Coturnix japonica: one gene and its partners. The main gene of each other region encodes a partner of the protein of the gene in region 4 in a complex. Links are inferred from orthologs where the notes say so. Each region holds a gene or a part of one and is shown on either strand. Other genes may lie near its edges.

Region 1 (4,270 bases), on a different chromosome or scaffold from region 4:
CAGGAAGGAAGGCCGTTTTTGGTTGCTGCAAAGTTTCTCTCTTGCAGATCCGTCAGAACTGACAATATTAGAGTTTCTGCCTGTTCTCTGTCTGCATAGCATGATGTGGTTGTATTGCTGTCCCTTGGTTTCTAGTTGGTTTTGATTTCTGATGATATTTCAGGAAGAGGAGAATGTGGAAGTACAGTATGCTATAGAACTTGTACGTGTCATCTGTATCTTCCTCCAGTACTGATGAATATGAACACAAGTCTTATCACATCAGTGCTTGACCTGAACTCGAGTGTAAGACCATGTGAAAAGAGAGAGTAGTTCAGTTGCATCAGGCAGAATTGGATTCATCCTGTTAAGGTATTGGACTTTGTCCTGCTCTCTCTCAAAAAGTGCTTTGCAGAAGTTGAAAAGAAATGCAAAATGCAAATCTGAAATAGGCTTCATGTGAATGTAATGCAAAGGGAGAAATATCTGCATTGGAAATCAATTTCTCCTGCTTTTGTTATGTGTTTAAAAATGCCCTTTTTTCTTTCCTAACGTGATGAGTCTTTTCATTATTGTTCCACAGTAAATACTCCCTAAGTAGCACTGGGGATTTGAATGACATGATTTGTGTGCTCCTATTGCAAGGTGTGCCAAATACCTCCCAAAGAGTGCAATTACCATTTCTGTGTAGTTAATAAAGACACTCAGGTGTGATTGCCCAACTCCTTTGCTTGAGGTCACACAGCATATCAGTGATGAAACTCCACACAAGCTTTCTGTATTCTAGGATTACATTTAATGTTTATCCCTTGGACATGGAGGAGTTGCAGTATTTTTTTCAGGTAGATGAGGGGATGTGTGTTTGCAGCATGCAGGGCTGCCCTCCTCTGCTTCAGGGCTACCAGGAAAGGTGGGTTCTCCACTCTTCAGCTGTGCTCAAGGTTGCAAAGGCAGGTATTGGTTGTGTTGCTTTAAGTGCACTTTGGTACCTTTGTAAAAATAACGAAGTTAACCAGAGGGAAGTGAAGGTGTGCTGCCACTGCTGCTTCTTCCATTGCATCTCTGAGATGAGCAAAGTGACCAGCAGAAAGCTGGCAGCTGGATTCACTAATGGTTTTAATGCCATCTCGCTCAGACAAGCTGTGATGCTGCCTGTGGACAGGCAACACGGGACACGTACAGGTCGAAGTGCCAGAACCTCCTGCTGGAAATCCCATTCACCGTTAATTAAACGGTTGGTCCGCGGCACCGAACCGGCAGTTGTGTCACCCGGCGCTCCATCGCAGCACTTCATACATCACACCGTTACTCGCTGCTCACACAGAGGCCCCGAATTTGCCTCATTTTTCCCTCCCGTTCGCTCCCGATCCCCAATTCTACACGCCCGCCCTGAGGTGACGCTCCCGCCGCCCGTTCCCGCCCGTTCCCGCCTCCCTCAGGGCTCGCGCGGCCCCGCCCCGCGGCGGGCAGGAGGGCGGGCTGTCGGGGCCGCGCACGGGGACGGCCCGGGCGCCATGTTGGAAGGTTGCTGAGCCCGGTTTGTGTCCGTGCCGAGCGGCGCTGGGAGCCAGTTTGCTGTGCGGGGTGGGGGGGGACGGCGGAGGGGAGCAGCGCGGAGGGATCGGCGGTGCGGATCATGGACGTCGAGAGGCTGCAGGAGGCGCTGAAAGGTGCTGCCGGGCGAGCGGCGGGGGGTGGGGGAGCGGTGTCCCCGCGCTGAGGGGAGCAGCGGGGCCCAGCGGGGACTTGTAGGGGCCGGGGGTGAGCGGAACTGCTCCGGGGTGGGAGCCGCGGGGTCCGTGAGGTGGGAGCGGCCGGGGATTCGCCGTGGGGACGGGGAGGGCCGGGCCTGGGCCCACAGCCCCCGGGCTGCCCTCGCCCTGTGCTCCTCCCGGCGCTCCCTCGCCCCGCTCCGCCTCAGCTCGCCCCGTCTCGGCCTTTGCGGCCCGTCCCGTCCCCGAGCAGGGAACCAGCTCCAGCCGCCGTTGCCCTGAAGTCGCGCACCAACTTTTGCCGCCCAGGTGCGCGATTCTCCACCATGAAATAGATCGGCGTTTTCCAGGGCTGGAAAGTTGGAGGAGCTGCTGGGATCAGCCGAGGCGCTGTTGAAGCAGGGGGTGTTTCTGAGGGAGTCACGCTGTAGTTGAAGTGGTGGTTGCGATGTTTAATATAATCTTCTTGTCTTTCTGTTCCCATTCCTCTCGTGCCACCAGATTTTGAGAAGAGAGGGAAGAAGGAGGTGTGCCCCATCCTGGACCAGTTCCTCTGCCATGTCGCCAAGACGGGAGAGACCATGTAAGTGCTGTGTGTGCTGCGGGAACGGGCTGCTCCGGAGCTGGGCTGTGCTGGGCTGAGCTGTGCTGTGCTAACTGAGCTGTGCTGGTTTAAGTGAGCTGTGCTAACTGAGCTCCCCTGGCCGTGTGCTGAACCTGGCTGGATTAGTTCTGTTTGCTGGCAGCTTTATCTAACGAGGAGCCTCTTCTCGCACAGGTCAGAGGTGTGTTCCAGGTGTTACCCTGCCCAGCACATGAAACCTGTTGCTCTATCAAAAGTTGATGCGACGTTTATTTTTGTTTTTTAATGGGAGTTTTGCTCAGTGTTATTGTGCCGTGCCCCTGTAACAGCTCAGCTCGTCCACGTCCCGCCCCCAGCCGTTCCATGCCCATACAGCCCGTGTCCCCGCACTCCCTCACACCCAGGCCCCATTCCGCCGCTCCGGGTCACCCCGCTGCGGGCTGGGCCGTGCTGCGTGCGGTAACTTCCGTGTTGCTCAGTGTTTGGCAGGAAGTGGGACGGCTCGTCTGCTCGCGCTGCCGCTGGTGGCTCACTTTGTGGCAGCCGGGCTCCTTGTTTGCGAGGCCTAGTGCCGGCCTTTGTTCTGCCTCCCGGCTTCCCCGACCCGCGGGACATTGTTCTTTCTTTTCCCTTCTTTTTTCCCCCCCCCGTCTTCCCAGTATTATTGGAGTCGGTGGTTTTGAAGGAAAAACAAGTTGTGAAATGTACTTCGGTCTTTGAATAAGAGGCTGTGGCTCAGCAGACATACACAGTTGTGATACTCGATGCTTTGGGACAGCGCTTCACTCAGTGTGGGCTCAGGGTTGTGCTTAGTTATTAACAGTGATTGCCTTCACCCTGATGGCAGCCACCAGGAGCCTCATGCAGGCCCTGCCCTTTTGTGTGTTCGTTTTTTTTTTTACTCTTTCTCTGATCTGTAGCATTGTTTTCAATATTTTCAAACCTTCCAGTTACATCAATTTTATTATTATTTTTTTAAGTGTCAGATCTGAGCATCAGAAGCATTCACTACAATCTGGAGGATGTCATGGGAATGCTGTTCTGTACCACTTGGTTTGCTTCCCATTGTCTGTTGAATTCTATTTCATCTAATTTGTTTCTGTTTTCACTGGTATGTTACACATCAAAATATCAGGAGGGAATCAGTGGAAATTAAAATTTCATTATGGTCCATGTAAAGAGCATTAGTGTGCTTATAAGAATCATATGTAATACATTCAGGAGGAATGTATCAATTTGAAATGAGCTGAGTATCCTTTAATTCATTTTATACATTTAATACCTAGTTTATGCATTTATTATCTATTCAGTAGAAATCTCAAACAGTAAGAAATGCATTGTTTGATGTTAAGATGATGAATGTCACAAACATAATTCTGTAGTAACATTTATTAGGGTTGTTTTGCAGCTCAGAGCTCAGTTTAAAACAAACGAACAAACACGATTAAGTTTGTAATTGCACAATCTTGCGGCTTACTGGAGCACAATGGGTTTCGCTCAGTCACAGCCTGTTCCTAGAGCAGCACAAAGTACCTGTGTGTGTGTGAGGACCAAGGCAAACAGGGACAAGTGAAACGTGACATGGTTTTCTTTGAGTTGTTTCTAGTAGTGTTATATGATGTGGGGGGAGGTTCTCCCTGCTTTCTATCTTGCTCTGACAGCTGTTGCTTCTGTTCTGTCTTGGGTTCAGATGCCATGTTCTCGCCCTTCACACTGCACACCTCTTCCAGCCATCATCGTAGCAGTTCTTGTGAAAAAACAAATAAAAAATTACTTGAAAGTGATGTTAATAAAGTAAATTATAGTGCTTTTTTTTTCAAGGTTAATATAGAAGCATGATCATGGCGTGCATCACTTGCCTTACAGGTTGAAAACATGGTCTCCTGTAAGCCATTGAGTACCTCCCTGCCCTCGTTGGTTTGAGTGTTCTTATTCATCCCAGTGAACTAGGAGCAGGTACACACAGGTATAGGTTAAGCTGTAATTTCACCCTTGT
Region 2 (4,108 bases), on a different chromosome or scaffold from region 4:
TGTAGATACTGAAGGTAAGATATATACTTTTAATTACTGTTATTCCATTATTATTATTATTATTATTATTATTATTATTATTATTATTATTATTATTATTATTATTAAATGGATAACCTTAAGGAAGTCAAATAATACATCTGCATGAGAAAATGAGGCACAAAAAGTCTAAGTTTACATTGCTGTCCAACAGGAACAGTCAGGGATATTGTGTTATAATAGATGAAAAACAGCAGACAAGCCAAAAATATATACCTCTGTGCATTACATAAAGGATACCATTTGTGTTGCAAGCAGCTTTTCAACTCTGCTGATATCCTACTTGGTGCAAGGAGAGCAGCATCGAGCAAAAGCTTCCCCTGGATTAGTGTATTAACATACCTGAACAATCACAGCAAGTGATTGCTTTACAGAAAGCTTAGCAAGCAGAGATGAAGCCACCTTTCAGTACAAAGGTTTATGAAGAGGCAAAAATAATGAACATTTCAGCACAAGGAAATGAATATTATTTCTCCAAAACAGCTGTTCATGTAGAGAGAAAGCAGATGAAGATACCAAGAGAAATTCAAGGCCAAGTTCAAAAGTAATTAGTAACATGAAAGATATGACGTAGAACCTTTCACCCTTTAACAAGGCAATGATCCAGTAATGACATACTGCTTGAAACATCATTTTTATTGAGAAAAGAGAAAAAAAGAAAAGAAAGAAAAAAAAAAAAAGAAAAAGAAAGAAATTTGTGGCTACAGGAAAGGGAGCTGATAAGGGGAGTGGGTGGAAGCCAGCCCAGCTGATTACTGTGAGGTACAAAATGAAATTGATGTGATTTTCTCGAATGATATGCACCACATACAAAATGCCTTCTCTGAATTTCCCTAGAGTCAACAGATTGCTTTCAGATTATTTTGACTACAGGAACTATTTCCAACACAAAAGATTCTAAATCAGTATTTAATAAAATTTAGCATCAAAAGAAACTCACTACTAAGAGTAATACCAGTAGGCAAAAGTCCTTACCTAAAAATAATGCCACACATCCCAGAAAGGGAAAACTAAGGCATCGGGATTATGTACTCTAAACACTGAGGGCAGTAATAGACCAGAAGAACACTTAGAACAGCAAAATAAGCAAACTGAGAGGGAGCTGCAGCTGGTTCTCCAATTACTATGTATTGTGCAAAAACAAATACTCAAATCAAAATCCCTCAGAGCATTTGTAATCTCAGAGATGACACACAATTGCTGAAAGTGATCTGTTTTTTAGAATATCAGCATTTAAGTTGTCCAGTAACTGCAAGCAAAATTCTTTAAAGAACATGAAGAGGGTGGTACAATGAAAAGTCACAGGGAAGCATTAACAGAGCATCTTCCACAGTACTGCATAAGGACTACAAAACTAATCTCTCAAGTCTTCTCTTCTGAAAGCTGAGATGTATTGAAGTAGCTCTGTTATCAGCATGTGTAACCACTCATACTTCACAGTGAATATGAAGGCATTGAATAAAGGGCATTACTAATGTTAACACTCGAGGTTTTTACAAAACCATCTGCTGGGGTAAAGAAGATGAAGTACAACTCAATGTTGGTGAAAGCCATATTAGAAACAAAAATGTTGGTACACCTACACAGGCATCATAGGCTCTGCAACTTTAAAAAGCACAACTATGGTATCTGTCTTTACCTTACTTAGACATCCAGCATAGCAGAAAGTAAGAGACAACAACTACTACAAGACAGAAAATGAAGAGAATGAAGAATAACAGCACTAAAAAAGCCATATGTAAACACAAAGGTAAGTAATGTTTCACAGTAATGCTGGAGGAAATACCTGAGCAGGTAAAGAGCCCTTTCAATGTCATTGAGTTCTTCATCAACTGTCAATCGTTCTATTTCTTCTGGTGTCTATCGAGTGTGAAATAGAGATTATGAGTTAACAATGCCTTACCACTGCCTTATTTTAATCCTCTTTTACCAATCCCCTCTTCCCCACACCCAGGGATGCTCCAGGAGCGATCTCAACACTATCCCTGAGCCAACATCTCAAATTCAGTCCCACTGATCCCTCACTGGGGGAAAGGGGCTGAAACTGAAGCACAGCCCCATGTCAGACACTATCGCTATTCAACACTTGAAAGAAAGTATAAAATCAGTCACATGTACATTAACCTAAAAGCCAAAGTAAGTCTGTTTTTTGTTTTAGTTTCTTTTTTGTTGGTTTTCTTTCTTTTTATTTATTTATTTATTTATTTTCCCCCCAGCATAGCAGTCTCATGATGAGAATATTAGAAACCTAGAGTTCAATATGCTTTACTCCAAAATGACTGAAAACAATCTCTGATACCCCGGCGCAGTAAAACAGACCACCTATCCGGACAGCTGCCTACAAACGCATCCAGCAACAATCACACACGGATTGCAAAGCATCGTTCTATTTCCGAGCACATACCTTCAGGCTCCTGCGCACCGGCCGCTCTATAATAGTTAGTTCCTGCAGGTCTTCTATGTACCCGAACAGATTGCTCTGCCCAAAATCCATGTCTCTGGAGCAGGGTATGGGGCGCATGGACGCGCCGCAGCCCCCGGCAGCCGCCTCTCCGCCCGCGGCTCACATAGCGCTGCCGGCACCGCGCAACGCCCCCTCCGTGCCTACCGCCACCGGGAGCCCGGCACACTGCGGCACGGCCGCCAAACTTTGTACGGCCGCTTTCCCGACCGAGCAGGGAGCGGGATGTGCCCCTCCCGGTAACCCTCCGGTGGGGGTATTAGGAGCCAACTTTCCCCTCCTCGCCGCTTAGTGCCGGGCTGCGGGTACCACCGCTCGCCGCCGGGGCACGGAGCGGAGCAGCCTCGCCGCGCAGCCCGGGTGCCGCCCCCCCGCCCCAGGGGGAGGGACGGTCGGTGGCCGTGGCGCAGTGATGCTCCCCGCCTCCGTCCCGCTCCGGCAGCGCAGCCCCCGAGGCGGACGTAGCGCACGGCGCCGCGGGCAGAGCGGGGGCGAGAGCTGCGGGCAGAGCCGGGGCAGCCCCGCACACCGGCAGCCTCCGCAACCGGGCCGCCCCAGCACCACGAGCCGGTCGCCGGGGCAACGCGGGACCGAACGGCTCCGAGAGCGGCGAGATCCGATCCGCCCCCTCGCGGCTCCTCTGCCCGCGTTCCCCGGCGCGGCTGTGACCACGCAGACCTCTCCATGGTCCCTACAGTCTCTCTGGGTGTTTCCGACCCTGCGGTGCCGTCCGAAGCATCTCCTTCCCTCCCGGCCCGGTGATTGGTAGCACCTGAGCCGTACCCTCCCCCCAACTCTCCAAACTATTTCGAAGCAAACCTAGAACGAAGCTGGAAACGTTGTGAGTTTAGTGAAAAGTCCAAAGCAGGTTCCTCTCCCGATTAACGCTTTAAAAACTCAATTTCAGTAAGATAACCGACAAACTTGGCAGTGATTAGCGATCCTCTAGCGAGTGCATCACTCACACGTGTTCTTCCTCCTTACTGCCCTTTACCTCCCCTCTGGCACAGGGACTCTTTCTGAGTCTGTAGAATTTATACAGAGTACACTGGATGTACGAGGACAGTACTTAAAAAATGAAAAAGCCAATTTTTGCCCTTTTAAGGATGGACAAATAACATGGAGAACGTTCTCTTTCTGAAGAATTCGGTATGACAGCACTTTTGGGAGTGGACAGGATAGGAATCCACAACAGTGCCGGTAGCTAGGGAGTTTCTGGTAATTCCATAAATTGGTAATGCTATACAGCCTATTGCTGAGAATTTGATAAACTTTGATTTTATAATCAGTATCTCCGCTTTTATTCAGTAAGAAATGAACACAGTGCGTTATTTCTCTGTGTGCTTTATATGCCAAACCCCACGCTCATTTAAATCACTGGAACAGTAAAACAAAACCAGACCAAACCCTGATCCAAAGTACAAATAAATAATGTTCTGTTATGTAACAGAAAGCCCAGACAGTCCCTGGTTTCAAGAATGGTGATGAGGCACAACAAGATACTGTTTTAAAATCTCCTTTGTAAATAGGAAAAGTGACCAGGCAGGAAGAGCTTTATAAAATGTTCTCTGAGTCCTGGCTCTGGAGACATCCAACATCTTCAAATCT
Region 3 (3,514 bases), on a different chromosome or scaffold from region 4:
CTGTTTCTTTAAGGAAAAATGGACAAATGGGGGGAAAATAATTGAGCTTGTACAATTGCTGTTGTTTAGTGTGGCTTGTGGTCTTCCTGTGGAATACAGAAGCCCATTTAGTAGTAGGTCTTCATCAACAAGGTTGCCATAAGAAAAGAAACAGTATGCATGAGAAGCAAATATGAAAGCATAGTGCTGTGTTTGCCTACTACAAGAACACTGCAGAACCTCTGTAGAGAACTGCTGGTATGCGATGCTGCAGCAGCAGTTATTTGGCATGCTGTGTGGGAGGAGAGTCCCTGTGTGAGCCATGCAGCTGCAACTCAGCTCCCTGCTCCCTGTGCTGTCCCCTAGTCCCCTAGCTGCTGCCGGCTCTGCTTGCAGCATCTGAGCTAACCCAGCTTGGGTCAAGGAGGATTAAAGAACGCTGACTCTGGCAGGAGGTGCAGAAGCAGTGGGATCACCTGGGAAGACAATTGAAAGCCCTTCTAGGTAACGATGTGAGGGAGAGAGCACAGGGACCTCTTTTCCTTGTTGCCCATTGCTTTCCTCTAATACGTTGGGTGTCTGTAAGCCACCCAGTGGTTTGCTTGGGTTTGATTGCTAAGCTCAAACACATCACTAAAGTATTTTGTGACAAAAGTGATATACAAGGGGAAGGATCAAGACTTACAGGCCTCAGCAAGTTGTGTGCTTAATATTGTCCTCTGCAAAAGTAGGAAGGGAATTGCCTTATTGACACATAGCAAGGGTTTACTGGGGTTTAAAACAAGTTGTGGTAGCAGTTCAGGAAGTCAACAGAGGTAACAACATTGAACTGCTTCACAAAGTCAGCAGAGAGCAGATGGTTTGAAGCTCTTTGATGTGCAGATGGGTTTATTGTAGGAGGTGGAACTGCATATTTGGGTGTCCAAGCACAGGCTTTGTTCTTGGCCTGGCAGCTCTACTACAGACCTGGTAACTCACATGTTTTAGTCCTAATGCACTGAAATTCTCAGCCACTCTACTTATGTTCTTTTAGTTTAGAAAAGATGTTGTATGTGTTCAGGTTTGTAATACTCGAGTCTTTATTTCTCATATTGTTACAGCTGTATTAAACTCCTTCTGAGAAGGAAATGATAATCTTTTACTTTTTTCTACAGCTTCAGAAGAATTTAAGGTTTTTCATATTTACATCACAAATTTACTGAACTTTTTGTGTGCATTCATATGCACAGTCAGAACTGCTGGCTTGGGAGGTATATTGCAGAGAAATGCCATTATTAATGTTTTCAATATGGAAAGATGTATATACAGGATGACATTCAGAAAGGAAAAAAGAAGGGTGATATTCTTTTGACAAAGGTAACATTAATTATTACTTATTCCTTAGATGTGATTCAACAGAATATAGTTAAATCCCTGGTGAAGATCTAAACTGCCTGAGAAATGAATATATTTGGTTATAGATATATATATTTTTGTCTTAAACAGGACACCTTGATTGTTTGGTCAGAAGCAGAGAACTATGACTTAGCACTGAGTTTTCAAGAAAAAGCTGGCTGTGATGAAATCTGGGAAAAAATCTGCCAGGTACACTTAAATTTTTCTATTGTTTCTTGCAGATGTTTTAGTGTCCTCTGTGTTTTCATGTATTTGTGTTGTGCTTTTCAAACCTATTTGTAAAATAAGCATGTCTTTGTCATTACTTGCTGTGGCTTTTCTGTATAAAATCTGAAGTTGCCACTATTTAGAACAAAATGTGTTTTTTTTTTACCTTCCTGCTCTTAAAATCAATAAGAGAAACACAGTTTTTGACTTGTTTTTAGGTTAGAAACTAGAAAACCTAAAGTGCCAGATTTTAACTGTCCTGTAGAGAGCTAGGTGTAATCAGTTGTAATAACATGTGGGGCTAGTTCTCCCTCAGAGAGAGGCACTGCTGGCATTGCTCAAAATGTCAGTCATTTTTTCCGTCAAGACCTAAGTCTTACTCACCATGTCTTTAGAGATATTTCAGTCTACATTCTGTTATTAGGTAACAGAGTTTGGATCTCAATGCTTTCAATTCTTCTAATAACAGTTCAGTGGAGTTACACCTATGTGTACTTCACAGAAGAAACCCAGGCTTTTGTGTCAGAATTGATCCTAACTGTCTCAGATTCTGGAAACATGAAGCTGTCACTAATGAAACTTAGAACTCAGATTTCTGAGCAATTTCCTTTGAACAAAATAGCTGATTAAGATGCTTGTTTATACTCCAAAACATGCTGAGTTTGAATCTTCTCTGTCAGTTGTAAAATACTGAAAGGAACTGATGCCAGTAGCTGCAGATATGTCTAATATGTAGTGCAGGTTTTCAGTTAGGCCTGCGTGGGACTGATCTGATAATCAGTCTGAGAGGAAGGTCTTTGTGTGGTCAGATGGTGCCAGCCATTAGCCTTAGTTCTTTCACTGGATTTCAAAACTCTTTGGACTTTGAGACTCCTCTTTGGGAGGTGATCTTTTGTGGGAGAGATCTGATAGGAGTTTATGAATCTTAGGATCAGTAAAGGAAATCAAAAGTATAGGGTGTGTTAGTAGGCTCAGGAGAGGAAATGAGCATACCCAACAGAATGAGAGTACAGAGTGGGAGTCAGTTGCATCCCTCTTTGCCTGTTCAGTTTGGGCATCCATTATACCCTTATGCCTTTGTTTTTGGTCTTTTTGTTATGGTTCACATCATGTTAGTGTAGCTGTGGTCTCTTAATGTGACTTTATACCCTAGTTATCCCTTCGGTTTGAGATACTGAAAGAAGGCTTTATTATGCCTTTTTTTATTCTCTCCATTTTGTTTTTATCTACAGGGTGCTTCATACTTTTTATTGCAAAGATGTGGTTAGGTTTTGGTGGGTTCATTTGTTTGAATTTTGGCAATATCTACTGGAGATAGTGGTAGTGACTTCTGTAGAATTCATAGGCAGCAAACTTAAATATTTCTCTTCATGGCTAGAAATTTTCCATGCAACTGAATATATGAGAGGATTTATGTACATTTTTTCTACTTGATTACTCCTTCGTATGTGTTGGGATGTGATGGTTAACTGTGTGCACTCTTTTTAGGTTCAGGGTAAGGATCCTTCAGTGGAAGTCACGCAGGACCTTATCGAGTCTGAAGAGGAGCACATAGAAGAAATGCCTGAAACTAGTCCTTTGATTGACCTTCCTTCTTGCGAACTCAACAAACTTGAAGAGATTGCTGACCTAGTTACCTCTGTTCTCTCCTCACCCATCCGTAGAGAAAAGCTAGCGCTGGCCTTGGAGAATGAAGGCTATATTAAAAAACTACTGCAGCTTTTCCAAGTCTGCGAGAATTTAGAGAACACAGAAGGCTTGCATCATTTGTATGAAATTATTAGAGGAATTTTGTTCCTCAATAAAGCAACTCTGTTCGAGGTGATGTTTTCTGATGAGTGTATTATGGATGTTGTTGGATGCCTTGAGTATGACCCTTCTTTGGCTCAGCCAAAACGGCACAGGGAGTTCTTGACCAAAACAGCAAAATTTA
Region 4 (3,514 bases):
ATTGGTTTATGAAGCATCTACTTCTTGTTTTTTGCAGGCTTGTTTTATGAGGGGTTTAAATTTCATCTGTGCAAAATTTTTATCCACAGCAAATCTTGAATCCTTGAATTCTCTTTGTCATTACTTTCTGTTCTGTTCTCTTTATTGATTTCTTTTTGTTGCGTGTGTGGGGGCTTTTGTTTGTTTACTTTGGATAAAATAATAAGCATATTTGATAATTAAAAATTCTTCTGTGTCAAAACAGTCAGCAAATTGATATTTTAAAGGAAAAATGGCAGAAGCTGTTTTGTCCTTTCCCTTTTAAAATTTAGAATTGTATGTAAGAAGTTAAAACTGTCACTTTCCTTGGTATAATACACATGTGCAGTACTTTTATATTAGGGAAATGCAGATGGACCATGCTCTCAGACATGGTATGACTTTTTCAGTGTCCCTTTGTGGAGCTGGTAGTTGGACTTGATGATACTTACGTTGGACCCTTCCAACTCAGAATATTCTGTGTTTCTATGACCAATATAAAGTATTTTCAATTATTTTTTTCAAATTGTAGAGAAGATAACAGGTAACACTTAACCATGTTGTTAAACAGTGATATTTCTGTTGTCAGAAAATTTCTCAAGTATTGGAACAGTCAGATCTTTTCAGTTCAAGAACTGAATTTTTTCTTTTCAGTAGTTCTTCCTGATTTTACTTTTCTATATCAGAAAATTAAATGTAAAAAAAAGCTCTGCTGAGCTGACATAGAATTGTGTATTGTGCAAGCATTCCTAACTAGTGTCTGTCTATCTTGCCGTTAGATCATGTGCAAAATGGCCTCCATGGTGGGAAAGGACATCACGGAAAGACTTGTTCTTCCTAGGTTTTGTGAGATGTGCTGTGACTGCAGAATGTTTCATGTTCGTAAGGTACGTATTATCAGCACCTCATCTGGATTATCTGTGAAAGTAGTGTCATTGGTTTGGAACTTGCCTTTGTCTAAATGACACCTTCCTGCTAGATTACATCTGTATTCACTTATGTATCTGAATACATAAGTGAAAGCTTATGGGGTTTCTTTGTGGTTCATATTTCCACAGACTTTATATTTGATGCTGACTACTTTTCCCTGAGTATCTACCTTTATTATTAGAAACAAAGAAAGAGCTGTCCTTACGATTGTGCAGGTAGCTGTGAAAATGTGAACCAGCTGGAACTGATAAAGCATCAGCTACCTGAGCTCATACCGCTGTGCATAGACATAAAGATGCTCATTAAGATGAGGCAAGCTAGTATGCCATCGTGAAACTTAGGTGTTGAGGCTGCGTTTTGGTTTCACCTTGCTATTGGATAGCTGCTTCTCCTTTGTAATTGCTTGTATTATTTCATTTGACGGCACTTTGAATGTATTCCTTCCCTTTCACTTATGTTTTGGGGTGGTTCTTTCAGGATTAAATCATTAATCAAGCTTATAAAGAGAAAGTTAAACAAAAACTGAAGAAGAACTTAAAAAGAATATATATATATATATATATATATGTATGTATGTATATGTATATTCTTTTAAAGTTTATATATATATATTTATATATATGTATGTATGTATTTAACACCATAGAAATAGGTAGAATGAAGAAGTGGCAGATTCTGAGTTAGTGCCAAATATTGTTTCTGTAGTTGTAAAAGCTGTTTGGTTATTTCTTTTGACTTTTTATGCTGTACTAAAAAATTGTCACAGTGGTTATTTCTTGCATTTCATTTGTAAGGTGTGTGCAGCCAACTTCGGAGATATCTGCAGTGTGGTTGGGCAGCAGGCCACTGAAGAAATGCTGGTAAGCTGCCTATTAAGGGATTTTTCTTTTTAGTACAAGTCAGTAGTGGAGTTAGATGTGGGGACAGTGAAGGACAGATAAAACAATTTAACTGCTATGTTCTCTTAGTAAGAAGAATCTATAACAGCATGACTTTTCAGTTTGGCTGGTACAAGGTTTTCTTTGAGATTAATAAAATTTTGACGACCGTTAATACAGACTTCTTAGAATCCTTAGGGTTGGAAGGCACCTTTAAAAATCATCTAGTCCAACTTCCCTGCAGTGAACAGGGACATCACAGCTAGATCTGGTTGCCCAGGACCTGTCCCAACCTCACCTTGAAAGTCTTCAGGGACCGGGGCATCAGCTATGTCTGTGGGCAACCTGTTCCAGTGCCTCACTACTCTCACTGTAAAAGACTTTTTCCTTATGCCTTATTTAAATCTACCCTCTTCAAGCTTGAAACCATTTCCCCTTGTTCTGTCACCACAGACCCTGCTAAACAACAGGTTCCCTTCTTTCCTGTAGCTCCCCTTCAAGTACTGAAAGGCTACTATCAGGTCACCTTGCTGCCTTGCTGCCTTAGTCTACAGCTGAGAGGGTTTAAAACGGCCTTCAGGTTGTGAAGGTAGAGAATGTCAGTGAATTTTAAAAGATACTGGGCGAGAAAAGGACAGGATTGTATCTTCTAATGTCTATAATGCAATGAGAAATTACAGATACAGAAGTGTAAGAGGAGAGTAGGCTGCTAGGAGGGGCGAGTTTGATAGGATCAATTGATGTTATTCTTCAGATATGTGAATATTCCCTGTCTGTATCTGCAGGTAACGTGAGTGCCAGTGATTAGAAGGGTGGTGCTACTGAATGTGTGTTTTGTCTTGTGCACGTTAAACTGAGCTATCTGTTGAGTGTGAGGGCAGAGAATTTGATGAAGGAAATGAGCATGGAAAGGAACCCACTTTGAAACAAGTACTGCCTGTTAAGACTTGCAACTTGCTGTGTTCTGAACAGTTGCCGAGGTTTTTCCAGCTCTGCTCTGATAATGTGTGGGGAGTTCGGAAAGCCTGCGCTGAATGCTTCATGGCAGTTTCTTGTGCAACATCACAGGAAGTTCGGCGGACAAAGTTGTCAACCCTTTTTATTAATTTGATTAGTGATCCTTCGCGATGGGTAAGAAATGCTTCTTATTTCTTGAACTGCTCTTCAATACAGTTTAATGGTTTGACTGTGATATCCCACATAGAACTTCTCCCCATAGGTGTGGATAACTTGTTTTATGCATCTTGAGCAAGATTCTTGTTGGAATGCTTGGTTTTACAGTGGGTGTAAACATTTCTTTCTATTTCCACCTCACCATGTAAGAAAAACTGGGCCACCAGGACCACTTTTCTTAGCTGCAGAACTAGCTATGACTTAACAATGCTAAAGATCATCATCAGATCTAAAAAAATTAGTTAGAATTTATATCTATTTCCCAGACCACTACCAACGCTTCCTTTTTTGTCTCCAGGGTCTACGTTTTAAACATTAAGTTTGTTATTGAGCAGGCTACTTCCACGAGCAGACTTATGACCCTTCCTATTTCTAACAATGGAGTTTTGTGTTTCATAAGAATGTAATATTTATATTTAATTTTCCTTGGACCTTTTCTACTAGGTCCGACAAGCTGCTTTTCAGTCCTTGGGGCCTTTCATATCAACTTTTGCTAATCCATCCAGCAGTGGTCA
Region 5 (3,514 bases), on a different chromosome or scaffold from region 4:
GGTTTTGTTATAGATGATTTTCAGACAGCCCAACTCTTGGCATTAATACTGGAATTGCTAACTTTCTGTGTAGAACATCATACTTACCACATAAAGAACTACATCATCAACAAAGATATCCTGCGAAGGGTGCTTGTTCTCATGGCCTCAAAGCATGCTTTCTTGGCACTGTGTAAGTTCAAACGCTGAAGAATAAACCAGTATTTTGTGAGTGTGAATTGCTGTGAATCTTCATTCTTCTGGAAGAAAACTTCTCACAGATGAGACAGTTTGTTACTGAACATAGAAATTCTGCTGTTTTCCTCCGTGTTTCTTAAACAGATTTACAGATATCAGAATTAGTAAATAATAACGTTTCTGTTTCAGGTGCCCTTCGTTTCAAGAGAAAAATAATTGGACTAAAGGATGAATTCTACAACCGCTACATAATGAAAAGTTTTTTGTTTGAACCTGTGGTCAAAGCATTTCTGAATAATGGTTCCCGTTATAATTTGATGAACTCTGCCATAATAGAGATGTTTGAGTTTATCAGAGTGGTGAGTGATGTTATATGCTGAAGTTAATAACTACTTGCTTCACCTTCTAGCTCAAGTAGACTTGTTATTTGTGCCATATGTTTGTGACATTATGTTATCATGGTATGGCGTGATATGCCCACATGACACTGTTTAAATGAACTGTCTTTTTTGTTCTCAGTGTTAACATATTTATTCTTTCTTATGTTTGAGTGGTATGATGGTGTGAAAATTAAATTCACTCAGAACTCAATGTATTTACAGAGTCATAGAATGGCTGAGTTTGGAAGGGACATTGGTTTAGTTCCAGCCTCTCTGTCATAGGCAGGATTGCCACCCACAAGATCAGGGTCCAATCCAACCAGGTCTTAAATGCCTTCAGGGATGGGGCACCCACAGCTTCTCAGGGCAGCCTGTGCCAGCGCCTCACCACCCTCTTCAGTAAAGAGAGCACAGCATTCAGTTGGAATAGCAAACAAAGTTAGGTTTTTTGTAGAGGAGCTTGTCTGGCACTGTGTGGCCACAAAAAAAAAAAAAAAAAGCTTATATTGGTTTTGGTTTTTTTTTGTTTAGTAATTACAACAGATAATAGTTAATCTATCAGTATACAAATATTTACAATTTGCAGCAGGACATACTTGTCAGAGTTGGTTTTAGAATTGTTTTCTACTGGAATTTTAGATTCTCATATAACACTCATATAATTTGAAGCATATATTCTTAGAAGATTACTACTCTTATGTCTGCTTCTCTAATCATATATTTGAAGCTCTAAACTATATGTGGTGGTGTTTTTTGTCATAAGCTAATAATTATGTTTTCTATTGAATATTTAAAAAATAGTGTCTCCATTCCTTTTTATGTTGCATTTAGAAATAGATTCACTTGAAGCAAAATAAGTCACTTTGTGTTTGTTCCATTCTGTAGGAAGATATAAAATCTTTAACGGCTCATGTGATTGAAAATTATTGGAAAGCACTGGAAGACGTAGATTATGTGCAGACATTCAAAGGACTGAAACTACGATTTGAGCAACAAAGGGAAAGACAAGATAATCCAAAACTTGATAGGTAACGGGCTCTAAATTATTTTACTATGATTTCTGTTTTGGGAATAATGATGGGTTTTTCTGCAATAACAGGAAGAGTAAATAATTTCAACTTGATTGTATCTCATCTGCTGTTGAATTTAATTGATTGATAGTGTGATTTCCAGATGTATTACTTCAAACTCTTGATCAACTTTAAGGTAACATATTTGCTGAAGGCAGACACATTCCCTCCCTTCCCTTCCTGTAAAGAAGTAATGCTGTTCATCCATTTCAGCTTCAAGAAATACATATTCATACCATAGCCAGACTCAGCTTTTATTTTATTCTTACACCTTGTGTGTGGCTTTGCAAGTCTTGTCACAGACCATGTCCTAAGTGAAATAAACAGATATAAAAATGCAATAATCATAATAATTTGCCTACACATTTTAACAAAGAATAGTTCATCAGTCAGTAAGGAGGCCAACATTGGCATTAACATATTTGGAAACTGCCACTTAAGTAATAATAGAAGTAATAGTTTTCCAGTAGGAGCAAAACTTTAATATAAATGCAGTTTAAAATGCTGTATATCACATAGATCCAGGTTATAATGTTGGCAAGTTAAAATAGTTTTAGCATCCTGCTGCCTCTCCTAGGGAAAAAGGTGGTGGAGCAAAGATAGACCCACACTTAATAAATAATCAAAGGGAGTGGTAAAAGTAGCATGTGGTATCTGAGGCCCTTAAAAATAGAAAATACTGATACCAAACAAAAATGGCAGATGCAGCAGGAAGAGACGACTGTCTTTTTAATATACCTACTTTTTAAAAAATGTATTTGACCTTAAATGCTGATGGGTTATATTAAGTGCAATAAGAAGAAATGTCAGTGGTTTCTAAACTTCTTTTTACAACCTTTTATTTACCACTGCAAATGACTCCAAGTCTGAATGCAGCACAGACATTGATTTGAAATAACATCTAATTGTGCTGTTAGTAAACTACAGAATTTTGTACAGTTGGTCTGAATATTCTTACTAGAACTGTAAGTCATGTAATGCTACAGAAGAAATGTTTTTAATGTTATTTGCATTGAAAATACAAATTGAAGTTGCACATTTGCAAATGATTTGCTGTACTAAAGATACTGACTACAGTATTTGCATCCATAAAATGTCCATGTAAATGTCAAGTAGGTGTTTTGTTATTGATGCGAGCTGATTGTTGAATCATAGTTTTTAAAACTTACTGTTCTTCAGTATGCGCTCCATTTTGAGAAACCACAGATACAGGAGGGATGCAAGAACCCTGGAGGATGAGGAGGAAATGTGGTTTAATACTGATGAAGATGATATGGAAGATGGAGAGGCAGTGGTACCCCCTTCTGACAAAACTAAAAATGATGAAGATATTATGGACCCTATAAGTAAATTCATGGAGAGGAAAAAATGTAAGTGATGAAAAGAATGACGTATGGCCTGTACAGAAAATGTAATTTGTATTCTGTGGTCATACTGAAGTGAAGCTTTTTATTCCTTTTTTTATTGAAGGTCACAGATTTAGGAATTGACACTGAGCTGTTGAACAACCACTTCAAATAAGTTTTATTATCTCTAAAAACCAAGTGATGCAAAAGCGTGTTTACTTCTTAAAGCATCTAAGTGATGATACTGGCTGATAGTCAGGCTTTTCCAAGGTCTATTCAGATTTATTCAGAACTTTCCACGTTCCTTGTGATGTTTTTGGTGGAATAAATAAGTGTTTGTTCCTGGCCAGTGACAACAGCAGCCAGGTGTAGTATAGGAGCAGGAAGAAAATCTATTATCGCTCTTATCAAGTTGTGCATGAAGTATTTTCCCACACAGAAAAATGATATGTCATTATTTGTTCAATAATGTTGCATTGGTTTTTGTTTTCGTGTTTCCTGTGCAGTAAAAGAGAGTGAAGAAAAGGAAGTTCTTCTGAAA

Evidence for each region.
Region 1: PPP4R1 (region 4) and PPP4R2 share a complex: the UniProt entries of both Homo sapiens proteins name them as parts of the PP4 complex. The link is inferred for Coturnix japonica from reciprocal best matches to the Homo sapiens genes PPP4R1 and PPP4R2.
Region 2: PPP4R1 (region 4) and PPP4R4 share a complex: the UniProt entries of both Homo sapiens proteins name them as parts of the PP4 complex. The link is inferred for Coturnix japonica from reciprocal best matches to the Homo sapiens genes PPP4R1 and PPP4R4.
Region 3: PPP4R1 (region 4) and PPP4R3B share a complex: the UniProt entries of both Homo sapiens proteins name them as parts of the PP4 complex. The link is inferred for Coturnix japonica from reciprocal best matches to the Homo sapiens genes PPP4R1 and PPP4R3B.
Region 5: PPP4R1 (region 4) and PPP4R3A share a complex: the UniProt entries of both Homo sapiens proteins name them as parts of the PP4 complex. The link is inferred for Coturnix japonica from reciprocal best matches to the Homo sapiens genes PPP4R1 and PPP4R3A.

The regions. Positions count from the first base shown.
Region 1 is NC_029527.1:13,926,306-13,930,575, forward strand, and holds the start of PPP4R2 (serine/threonine-protein phosphatase 4 regulatory subunit 2), read left to right. Parts: upstream 1-1,465; 5' UTR 1,466-1,615; coding exon 1,616-1,649; intron 1,650-1,745; exon of another isoform or gene 1,746-2,000; intron 2,001-2,192; coding exon 2,193-2,274; intron 2,275-4,216; exon of another isoform or gene 4,217-4,240; intron 4,241-4,270. UniProt on the Homo sapiens protein: Regulatory subunit of serine/threonine-protein phosphatase 4 (PP4). May regulate the activity of PPP4C at centrosomal microtubule organizing centers.
Region 2 is NC_029520.1:41,201,751-41,205,858, reverse strand, and holds the start of PPP4R4 (serine/threonine-protein phosphatase 4 regulatory subunit 4), read right to left. Parts: upstream 2,803-4,108; 5' UTR 2,561-2,802; coding exon 2,444-2,560; intron 1,900-2,443; coding exon 1,826-1,899; intron 1-1,825. UniProt on the Homo sapiens protein: Putative regulatory subunit of serine/threonine-protein phosphatase 4.
Region 3 is NC_029518.1:7,238,180-7,241,693, forward strand, and holds part of PPP4R3B (serine/threonine-protein phosphatase 4 regulatory subunit 3B), read left to right. Parts: intron 1-1,464; coding exon 1,465-1,563; intron 1,564-3,069; coding exon 3,070-3,514. UniProt on the Homo sapiens protein: Regulatory subunit of serine/threonine-protein phosphatase 4 (PP4). May regulate the activity of PPP4C at centrosomal microtubule organizing centers.
Region 4 is NC_029517.1:88,769,198-88,772,711, forward strand, and holds part of PPP4R1 (serine/threonine-protein phosphatase 4 regulatory subunit 1), read left to right. Parts: intron 1-797; coding exon 798-905; intron 906-1,742; coding exon 1,743-1,808; intron 1,809-2,798; coding exon 2,799-2,957; intron 2,958-3,443; coding exon 3,444-3,514. UniProt on the Homo sapiens protein: Regulatory subunit of serine/threonine-protein phosphatase 4. May play a role in regulation of cell division in renal glomeruli. The PPP4C-PPP4R1 PP4 complex may play a role in dephosphorylation and regulation of HDAC3.
Region 5 is NC_029520.1:40,224,045-40,227,558, reverse strand, and holds part of PPP4R3A (serine/threonine-protein phosphatase 4 regulatory subunit 3A), read left to right. Parts: intron 1-13; coding exon 14-172; intron 173-366; coding exon 367-536; intron 537-1,442; coding exon 1,443-1,585; intron 1,586-2,806; coding exon 2,807-2,997; intron 2,998-3,479; coding exon 3,480-3,514. UniProt on the Homo sapiens protein: Regulatory subunit of serine/threonine-protein phosphatase 4. May regulate the activity of PPP4C at centrosomal microtubule organizing centers.